Oryzias latipes: one gene and its partners. The protein of the gene in region 1 purifies or fractionates together with the protein of each later gene. This does not show direct contact. Links are inferred from orthologs where the notes say so. Each region holds a gene or a part of one and is shown on either strand. Other genes may lie near its edges. The genes, in order: pold3, sprtn and pold1.

Region 1 (2,939 bases):
AGTTTCTGATTTGTGAAACCTTTACCTGATTTGTGAAAATGTGAAATAGGATGATTTTTATAGCATTTTATGAACCGAGTCCACCTCAGACCAGGTCCTATTGAAAAACCTCTGGACCTAGACTGCTTAAACCTGGATTCAATTTTGATTTAGATAGTAAAAAATACATTAAACAGTTTCTGATTTGTGAAACCTTTACCTGATTTGTGAAAATGTGAAATGGTATCATAAAAGCGTAAAACGTGATAAAAATCATCCTAAATTTAATAAAGGTCATTTTTTTTCTATACTTTTAGAAGATGACAGCGCCGTGACCTTGGAGGAGGTGTTCACGTTAGCTGCAGGTGTGCCACGTGTTCCTCCTGCTGGTATGAGTCCTCTGCTTCACTTCCCATCTTCAACATCAAGATTACTGTTTTAAAAACCAGTAACACCGGGGCTACAAATGACCCTGTCTGTCTCCCAGGTTTGATTTTCAAAAGTGTGTGAATGAACCAAAAGTCCTCCTGTCTGACTGGTCCACAGCACAGGAACCGTTTGTAAAGTTCTCTACTTTCTAATGTGGATTAAAAATAAGAAGACGCATGCTCACACAATATTTTCAGAGTTTATTGATTATCCCGTGTGTTTACAGCAGGAGACAGAAAGGATATAAAAATGGTTTTCCAGGCTTTGTTTTGTTTTTCAAACTGTCCATGTGTGAGCAGTGAGTCCACACCAACAAAACTGACCTCCTCCAGCGGATCTGGGCAAATGTTCTCACTTCTTCTGAAAAAATCCCATAATAGAAGCTTGTTTTCCTCCTTTGTTGGAGTTGGCCGGAGCTTTTTTCTGAATTTTCTTGTCGTCCTCTTTGCTCCCCGGGTTTGGTTTGGCCTTAAACGGCGCCGTCTGAGCCGCTTTGGGGGCTTGGAAATCCTCCTCGGATTCAGAGTACGATTCACTCTCAAAGCCTTTTTCTGTGACTGTAAAAAAAAAGAAAAAATATTCAGTAAAAAAATCTATGGCGTTTAAAAGGTTTAAAACTGTGTTTGTCATTTTTAATGAACCTTAAAATCATTTAGACAATACAAATGAAGAATTTACTTTGAGGACTCATATCTGAGCTTTGGAAAAGAAAACTTTCACCTTTGAACTATGAAGACAATAAAAGATGATGGAAAAAAAATGTGTGTTGAATTTGCAAAGAATTATAAAGTCATATTTCTGAGGAAACTGTGATTATAATAGTAATAATGATTGCTTTTTCATACCCATACACCCATCAGCGTCCAGATATGTGCGAGACTTCAGGACCCGTCTCCTCTTCCTCACCTTCGCCCCAGAGTGACCCTGCAATATAAAGGTTCATTTATATGAACCTAAGCAACTCATCATTTGAATTTTAAACTAAGAAGTCACTCACATTTGACGGCTGAACAGTTTCCGTTTCTTTTTTAGGACTTCTCTCTCTAGTTAGAGTCTCTTGGGGCTGTGGGGAATCCGGAACGACTGTAAATAAAACAGAAACAGAAACAGAGCCCAGGTTTTAGAAAAAAATTAACTAGAAGTTTATACAAGGTGCTATTTTCTTAAAGGACCTAAACATTCAAAGAGCAAATAAATGACACCTGAAATGGATAAACAGACACCAAAATGAAGTTACATTGATCAGCTGAGATCACAACTCGACTGACTGGAGGAGTTTTTCCAGAACAGGTTAAAAAGTCTCAGATTTGAAAGAGTTGAGAAAACCTGTCAGTTTTTAACTTTCACTGAAATTCAAAGGAGTATTTTGGCCATGAAAGACAAAAAAACATACATGAGAATAAACTCATAAAAGTATGAGAAAAGAAGGAATATTCACAAAAATAGGGTTGTAAAATTATGAAGAAAAGAAAAAGGAAAACGGCAGACCTTGGTTGTGTAAGCCTGAATCCACATTACGTGACTAAATGCAGACGTTCATGGTGATGCCATAAGGCTTAAACATTGGTATCTAGGTGCCACAATCCGCTTGGACCTCTGCAAACACTGCCACAGCCAAATCCACTCCTTTTGGGTCAGAATCTTTCAGGGTCCTGGAAATTCTTTTCAATATCCTTCTAATAAAACAATATTGACTGGACTTAACATTTCCTTATTTGTGAAACCAAAAGTGGTAGTACCCACTTACGTAATATTAGCACTTTTCCTCATTATTTCACGATTACTATTGTAAAATTGCACATTTTTCCCATAATTTCACAACTTTATTCTCATAAATGTTATCTCTCCGTTTTAACAATAAACTGAAAAGAGAAAAATGTCAGTTTTCTCTGACAAACTGAGAATCTTCATTTAATTATTCCTCATTTCTCAGCATAAACTGATCAATCAAAAGAGCATTAAAAGACCTTCTTCATCACTGCTGTCTGGTTCTGGTTTCTTAATCCTCCGCCTCTTCTTCTTGTCCATCTTGTCCTCTTCACTGTCTTCGTCTTCCGCTCTCTTGGTTTTGCTGTGGAGGGAATAAGGCAGCACATTCCCATCAAGCAAAAGGAAAAGCTGGAGTGTTTTTTGCAGGTCAGGGGTAAACACACCTTCTGGGGTCTTTTTGGGTCTGCACTGCTGCACCGTCAAACTTTTCACAGGGTTGAGGACTTTTACGCTGCGGCGGCGGCGGCGGCTCAGATGTGGAAGACGTCTGATCTGCTTCCTCCTTCACGGCTTTGACTGATTTTTCTGTCGAAATGAAGAACCTTTAGTCTAAAAATGCCATTTCCTGTGTGAACATGAGCAGCGTTTGGTGAACCTCAACTTGAGGTAAAGACTAAGAAGATTTAAATGCAAGATATGGAATTTTCTGATGTCGACACACTAAACGGAAGCTGGAAATAGGATTTGGTTAGTAATAAACTGTATTGATGATGGAACTGACTTGCTGTTTGACTCCCAAAGAAGTTCATCATTGGATTGGC
Region 2 (2,423 bases), on another chromosome or scaffold:
TAAACTGGTGCCAAAATAAAATGGTCATGTGTCGTACGTTTGAAACATTTGATTGACAGGTTTTGTGTAGCCGGCTTTCAAGCAGTAGGGGTGTGGAGCTTCAGCAACCTCACTCCTGATTGGCCAGAGCAACTGCCATGGAGACGTCAACTCAGACCAACTTGAACCAATCACTGCTTACTGATGTCGTCTGGCTCCAACATGGCGGCGCAAAAATATGGCGACTGAATTGACTCCATTTGGTTGGAGCTGGAAGTAAACCATGAGTGACGTCACACTCAGTCAGTCCAGTTCTGAAAAGTATATATACACAATATTACAAAAGGAGGAATAAAAACGTAAATACAGAGTTTTTTTGTGCAACAGACTAACATTTGGCTGAAAATTAAAAGTATTTAGCCACGGCAAAACCATCAACCACTAAAAAACTGTTTGGTTTGTGGATGAAAAGGAAAAATGATGTTTCTGTGGTTTGAGAAAAGACTCCACTCTGGACCCTGTTATCGAATTTTTTAACCAGGCTAAAAAACCTTTTCTGTGCAAACAAAAGCTTTAACCCAGTTAATTATTTTCTTTTAATTCGAAAACCATTCTTTGTGCATATTTGAACTCAAGATCCAAAAGCTGATTTTTTTTATTCAGATTAGTTACTTGCTGCACTGAGCTGACCCTGTTTGCTGTGTTTGCACTAAAGATGCTTGTTTCTGCAGACTCTCCTCCATGAAATGATTCACGCCCTCCTGTTTGTGACCCAAAACAACCGAGACCGAGACGGCCACGGGCCAGAGTTCTGTAAACACATGAATCGTATCAACCAGGCCAGTGGGACCAAGATTACGGTGAGTTTTCCAGCACTTTCAATAGGCTCTGAATGCTCTCTAGAGAATGTTAGGAAATGTCTGCTCTGCTCCCCTTCAGGTCTACCACAGCTTCCACGACGAGGTCGACGTGTACCGGCAGCACTGGTGGCGATGTGACGGACCGTGTCAGAACCGCAGGCCCTACTTCGGCTACGTAAAGAGAGCCATGAACCGAGCTCCTTCCTCCCTGGACCCTTGGTGGGAGGATCACCGGAGGACGTGTGGGGGGACGTACACCAAAATCAAAGAACCCGATGGCTATGGCAAAAAGGGCAAGAAGGACGGGAAGAAGTCTTTAGGAACTAGTAAAACCTCAAACACGGCTAAAGGTAAAGAAACGTGTTTTAACGTATTAAACAGAAGCAGCTTTCTCCTGTTGTTTAGACCTTTATCACTGGAGCTGTCGCCGGTGACTCCTAAATAACAAACGCTCCATGAGATACCGGAACCGTTTGACCGGTTAAGCAATCAACTGGAGTCAGCGGATTCTTGCAGCTTTTCCTATCGTAAAGTGTTGCATTGCAGCACAAAGCCTCATCCTCAAGCCTGACTCAATCAGAGGGAATTATGTTTACTACGTCAACAGAAGTTTGAAGAGCGTGTTTTATCTTCTGTCACCGACAACAGCTCTGGTATGAACCCTTCAAAGACCCACTCTGATGAAAATTGTGGGCTTTTTTTTGTGGGCGGCCGTGGTGCAGCGGTAGGGCGGTCAACCCATGATCGTAAGATTGCAGGCCTTGAACACCCATGTGTCGAAGCGTCCTTGGGCAAGACACTAAATCCCACCATGCCTCTGGTGGGAGGTTGGCGCCAGTGTTCAGCAGCGGAGCCACTATCAGTGTGTGAATGTGTGTGTGACTGTAAAGCGCTTTGGGCCTTCGAAAGAGGATAGAAAGCGCTATAAGTATACGCCATTGACCATGTTTTTAACATAAAAAGCTACCTGCTCTGCTCCATTCTGATGCATCCACTGTCAGACAAATAGATCCATGGACGTCTTTGTTTTGATCATCCGAACTGGAATCTGAATCCAAACTGTACGTCTGCATAGCTCTGATATTGCTCGCCATTTTTGTTGCACCGCTAATGTTAGGTTGGGATTGTGAGAGGCTGTAAGCTAGCAGTTGAGCATGTGATGGGAACTAGGGACAGGTTTACTGCTGCTGCTCTGGAGAAATTGTCCTAGAAAACAACACCCTTATTTTGATTTTGGCTAAAAAACTGCATAATTATTATCAAAAGACCACTTTTAGAATAGATCAAACGATAATCAGAGTGGGAATCTAAGCTGTGCAATGTGGATTTTCAAAGATTTTCAAAAAAAATTTCCCTCCATCTTCAGAATCCGCTGAATCCCTTTGTGTGTCACGAGGTTGCTGGAGCCTACTCTGCTACAGTCGGGCAAAGGCAGGGAACACCCTGAGCCGGTCACCGGTCTGTCGCAGGGCCGCACAGTCACACCTAGGGACAATGTAGTCACTAATGAAGCTATTGAGCCTGTTTTTGGATTGTAGAGAAAGCCGGAGTGTCCAGAGAAAACCCATGCATGCACAGAGAGAA
Region 3 (3,660 bases), on another chromosome or scaffold:
TGTGTAGGAAACATTCAGATGTGAAATAGATGTTCCTTTAACCCAAAACTGTCAGAGTGGAAGCTAAAAAAATCAGACACCAACTTAAGGCTCATCTAACTTTGAAGGATGAATAAGAAAAAAGGCACTAAAACTGGTATTTTCTTAATGTAATAATAAGCGTGAGTCCATCGTTGGAGCAACTTTTTAGCTACATCCTCGTAACAAGAGGGAGTCTGTATTATAATAATAATAATTATTATTATTATTATTATTATTATAGTGAATGGGAACAACTGTCGCAGCAAATCTATATTTGGAGTAAATAGTTGTTGTGGATTTTGTCTGTTAAATGCAACTTTCTTTTATTTTGAAGTCAAAGATTTTTCTTCTGTTTCCTCACTGGCTTTTTTTTTTTTTTTTCCAGAAAGAAACTTTCTAAATACGTTTGTTTTCGTCAACTTTGCTAGCTTGGGAGGTTTCAATTTAGCGGCCGGTGCAACTGTTTTAAGAAAGTAGTGAATGTATTTTCATCATGTAACCGAGCAACTCAACATGTGCCAAGAATGTCGTTTTTCAAAATAAAAGTTCAGAATCGGATGATAAATTAAAAAGGATCAAATGTTGGTTTATGTTCCAACACAACCAACATTTTTGGCGTGTCCCACAGACGGGTACTTGTCCATCGCCTGGTGGTTAGTGACCACTGATTTAGATGATTAACACTGGAGACATTTTATTTCTTTGTTTGGGGAAATAAACATGGTTTCCAAAAGCTTTGTTTCTGACTTTAATGACTGTGTTTGCAGGTTGTCATCTGAGGATTTCATCAAGACCCCAACAGGTGACCAATTTGTGAAAAGTTCTGTGAGGAAGGGACTTCTTCCGGAAATCCTGGAGAACCTGCTGTCTGCCAGAAAGAGGTTGGGTTTACAGAAAGTAAAAATCCACACCAAACACATGAGCCATGTTGGGTCTTCATCGTGATTTTCCAATGTGTCCGCAGGGCCAAAGCAGAGTTAAAGAAGGAAACCGACCCTTTTAAGAAGCAGGTGCTGGATGGCCGACAGCTGGCCCTAAAAATCAGTGCCAACTCTGTTTATGGCTTCACAGGGGCTCAGGTGGGCAAACTGCCCTGCTTAGAAATCTCACAGGTGAGCACTTTAGTGTAGATGACCAGGTAGCGCTAAAGAATTTTATTTTGACAGGTCAAATGCAGTTTCTCCGATGGTCCTTCCACATGTGTCTCTGTCAGTCGGTGGGCTGCCCCAGTTTAGGTTTTTGTGTGGTGTGCACAAATGTAGAGCATGAAAGGTTCACACAAAACTTAAAGGGAAAATATGTTGCAAAAGGAAACCACAAAGCAGCTGAAACAGTTGGGGCGAAATTTAAAAGTATTGTTGTTTATCTGATTGTCGTAAGGTAAAATACATTTATTCTTAACTTATGATCTTGGTTATTTACTTAACGGTTGCTCTCAAAGAAAGCCATTGTTTTGTCGCTCTTGTATGAATTCTTGACTCTTCAGTCAAGATAAATCTGTCGATTCATCAGTTAATGGATTCTGTTTTGTGTCCAGAGCGTCACCGGATTTGGAAGGCAAATGATCGAACGAACTAAACAGCTCGTCGAGTCCAAATACACCATTTCTAATGGTTATCAAGCTGATGCCAAGGTGAGGAATGTGTGGCTGAACCAGCTCGACTTCCCCATGTACCAGATCTTTTTTAATGCAAGTCAAACCTCCTAACATGCTTTAATTTTGAACGCTCAGGTGATTTACGGAGACACAGACTCCGTCATGGTCAAGCTCGGAGTCGCAACGGTCAAGGAGGCCATGGAAATCGGGAGGGAAGCGGCTGAGTGGGTCTCCTCCCACTTTACACCCCCCATCAAACTGGAGTTTGAGAAGGTGACGTTTCATTCCAGGCATGGTTTTATGAATGTTTATCTTTTCCATACATCTATGTGGACGTCCCATTTTGATTGCAGTCATGCAGATTTTAGTTTTCTTCTTTAGATACATATTGATCTACTCTAAATATTTTAGATTAAATAGATTTCTTTAAATAGATTCCACCCTGATTATGGGTTTCAAACTTGCATTTGAATGTTTTTTGCTGAATATTACAGCATTGGGAAATTGCTGTAATAATAATTATAATAATAATTGCTGGATCTTGTCCAAAGCTGACCAGGTTTTCTTGCAGTTCTCATCTTCCCATTCATAACATTTGCAAAATTATTGTTCCCATCGCAAACTGAATGCATTTCAATCTGCCTTCCATTCATTTGATATTGTTTGTAGATATTTTCATCAGTATGTTGTTTTGTATAACCTTTTTGGAAACTCTTGGGAATATATTTAAGGTGTAGTAGCAGCCTAGAAGACTTTTCTTTTGAATGTTCTCACAGGTTTACTACCCGTACCTGCTGATCAATAAGAAGCGCTACGCAGGACTCTATTTCTCCTCAAGCGCGGACACGCATGACAAGATGGACTGCAAAGGCATCGAGACGGTCCGCAGAGACAACTGTCCTCTGGTGGCCAACCTAATCAACACCTGTCTGCAGAAGATCCTGATCGACAGGTACACACCTGCTTCCATCTCTTAACTGCTGGAAATACTCGGAATGTTAAGCTCATGACATGCAGTGAATGCCAGATTCTTTGTATTTGACTGAAATCTGTGGTTTTGTTGTCTTTAGAGACCCTCAAGGTGCTGTTGATCATGCCAAAGAAGTCATTTCTGACCTGCTCTGCAATCGTATTGACATCAGCCAGCTGGTCATCACCAAAGAGCTGACGCGCACGGCTCAGGAGTACGCCGGCAAACAAGCCCACGTGGAGCTGGCAGAAAGGTCTTCCTCTCAATCCGTTTCTAACATTTCCTTGTGGCATTTTTCTTATGGGGGACATATTTGAAGAGAATGAAGCCTAAAACCACATTTTTGAGTATTTCTTTATTCAGATCGATGTGAATAAGGAGTATTTGTTGTGTAAAAAATACACAACAAATACTCCTAGGCCACAACCTCCCTGCTTCGCTTCATTCCAAATACATCCACTTGCAGACGATTAGACCCGCATACGTTTTCTCACAATTTATAATGAACTACTGCCGCTCTGGAGAAACTATGTCTGAGAAGAAAAAAAAACTATGTCTGAAAAAATTACACAGGACTTTGGATTTTGGCTAAAAACGCCATAACCATACTTGAAAGAGCACTGGAAACGCTCAGAGTGGGACTTTAATGAATTTTGTCAAATCTCTGAAATTCCCCTTTTAATGTCGATGTTTGACAGAATGAGGAAAAGAGACGCAGGCAGCGCGCCAAACCTGGGAGATCGAGTGCCGTACGTCATCATCAAAGCCGCGAAAGGCGCCGCAGCATACATGAAGTCAGAGGTGCGTGGCGTCTTTGACCTGCAACGTTTTCTTTTCTTTCCCTCTCACTTTTGCCGTAAATAACCATTCCTGATGGCGCTTTAGGACCCGATCTACGTGCTTGAGAACACTATTCCCATCGACACACAGTACTACCTGGAACAGCAGCTGTCCAAACCGCTACTGAGAATATTTGAGCCCATCCTCGGGGAGAGCAAGGCAGAGAGCGTCCTGCTAAGTATCTACACCTTCTCATTACTTAACCTTTATGTGCAAAAAATAGAATGTAATT

Evidence for each region.
Region 2: the proteins of pold3 (region 1) and sprtn purify together in Homo sapiens (affinity purification with mass spectrometry; 3 studies listed by BioGRID, with this or other methods). This does not show direct contact. The link is inferred for Oryzias latipes from reciprocal best matches to the Homo sapiens genes POLD3 and SPRTN.
Region 3: the proteins of pold3 (region 1) and pold1 purify together in Homo sapiens (co-immunoprecipitation; 8 studies listed by BioGRID and IntAct, with this or other methods). This does not show direct contact. The link is inferred for Oryzias latipes from reciprocal best matches to the Homo sapiens genes POLD3 and POLD1.

The regions. Positions count from the first base shown.
Region 1 is NC_019875.2:1,858,945-1,861,883, forward strand, and holds the end of pold3 (DNA polymerase delta subunit 3), read right to left. Parts: coding exon 2,900-2,939; intron 2,704-2,899; coding exon 2,562-2,703; intron 2,480-2,561; coding exon 2,376-2,479; intron 1,492-2,375; coding exon 1,406-1,491; intron 1,333-1,405; coding exon 1,254-1,332; intron 966-1,253; coding exon 760-965; 3' UTR 589-759; downstream 1-588. UniProt on the Homo sapiens protein: Accessory component of both the DNA polymerase delta complex and the DNA polymerase zeta complex.
Region 2 is NC_019882.2:17,532,096-17,534,518, forward strand, and holds part of sprtn (sprT-like domain-containing protein Spartan), read left to right. Parts: intron 1-710; coding exon 711-839; intron 840-918; coding exon 919-1,189; intron 1,190-2,423. UniProt on the Homo sapiens protein: DNA-dependent metalloendopeptidase that mediates the proteolytic cleavage of covalent DNA-protein cross-links (DPCs) during DNA synthesis, thereby playing a key role in maintaining genomic integrity.
Region 3 is NC_019866.2:14,475,464-14,479,123, reverse strand, and holds part of pold1 (DNA polymerase delta catalytic subunit), read left to right. Parts: intron 1-788; coding exon 789-902; intron 903-985; coding exon 986-1,133; intron 1,134-1,558; coding exon 1,559-1,654; intron 1,655-1,753; coding exon 1,754-1,891; intron 1,892-2,394; coding exon 2,395-2,570; intron 2,571-2,688; coding exon 2,689-2,841; intron 2,842-3,286; coding exon 3,287-3,389; intron 3,390-3,473; coding exon 3,474-3,606; intron 3,607-3,660. UniProt on the Homo sapiens protein: As the catalytic component of the trimeric (Pol-delta3 complex) and tetrameric DNA polymerase delta complexes (Pol-delta4 complex), plays a crucial role in high fidelity genome replication, including in lagging strand synthesis, and repair.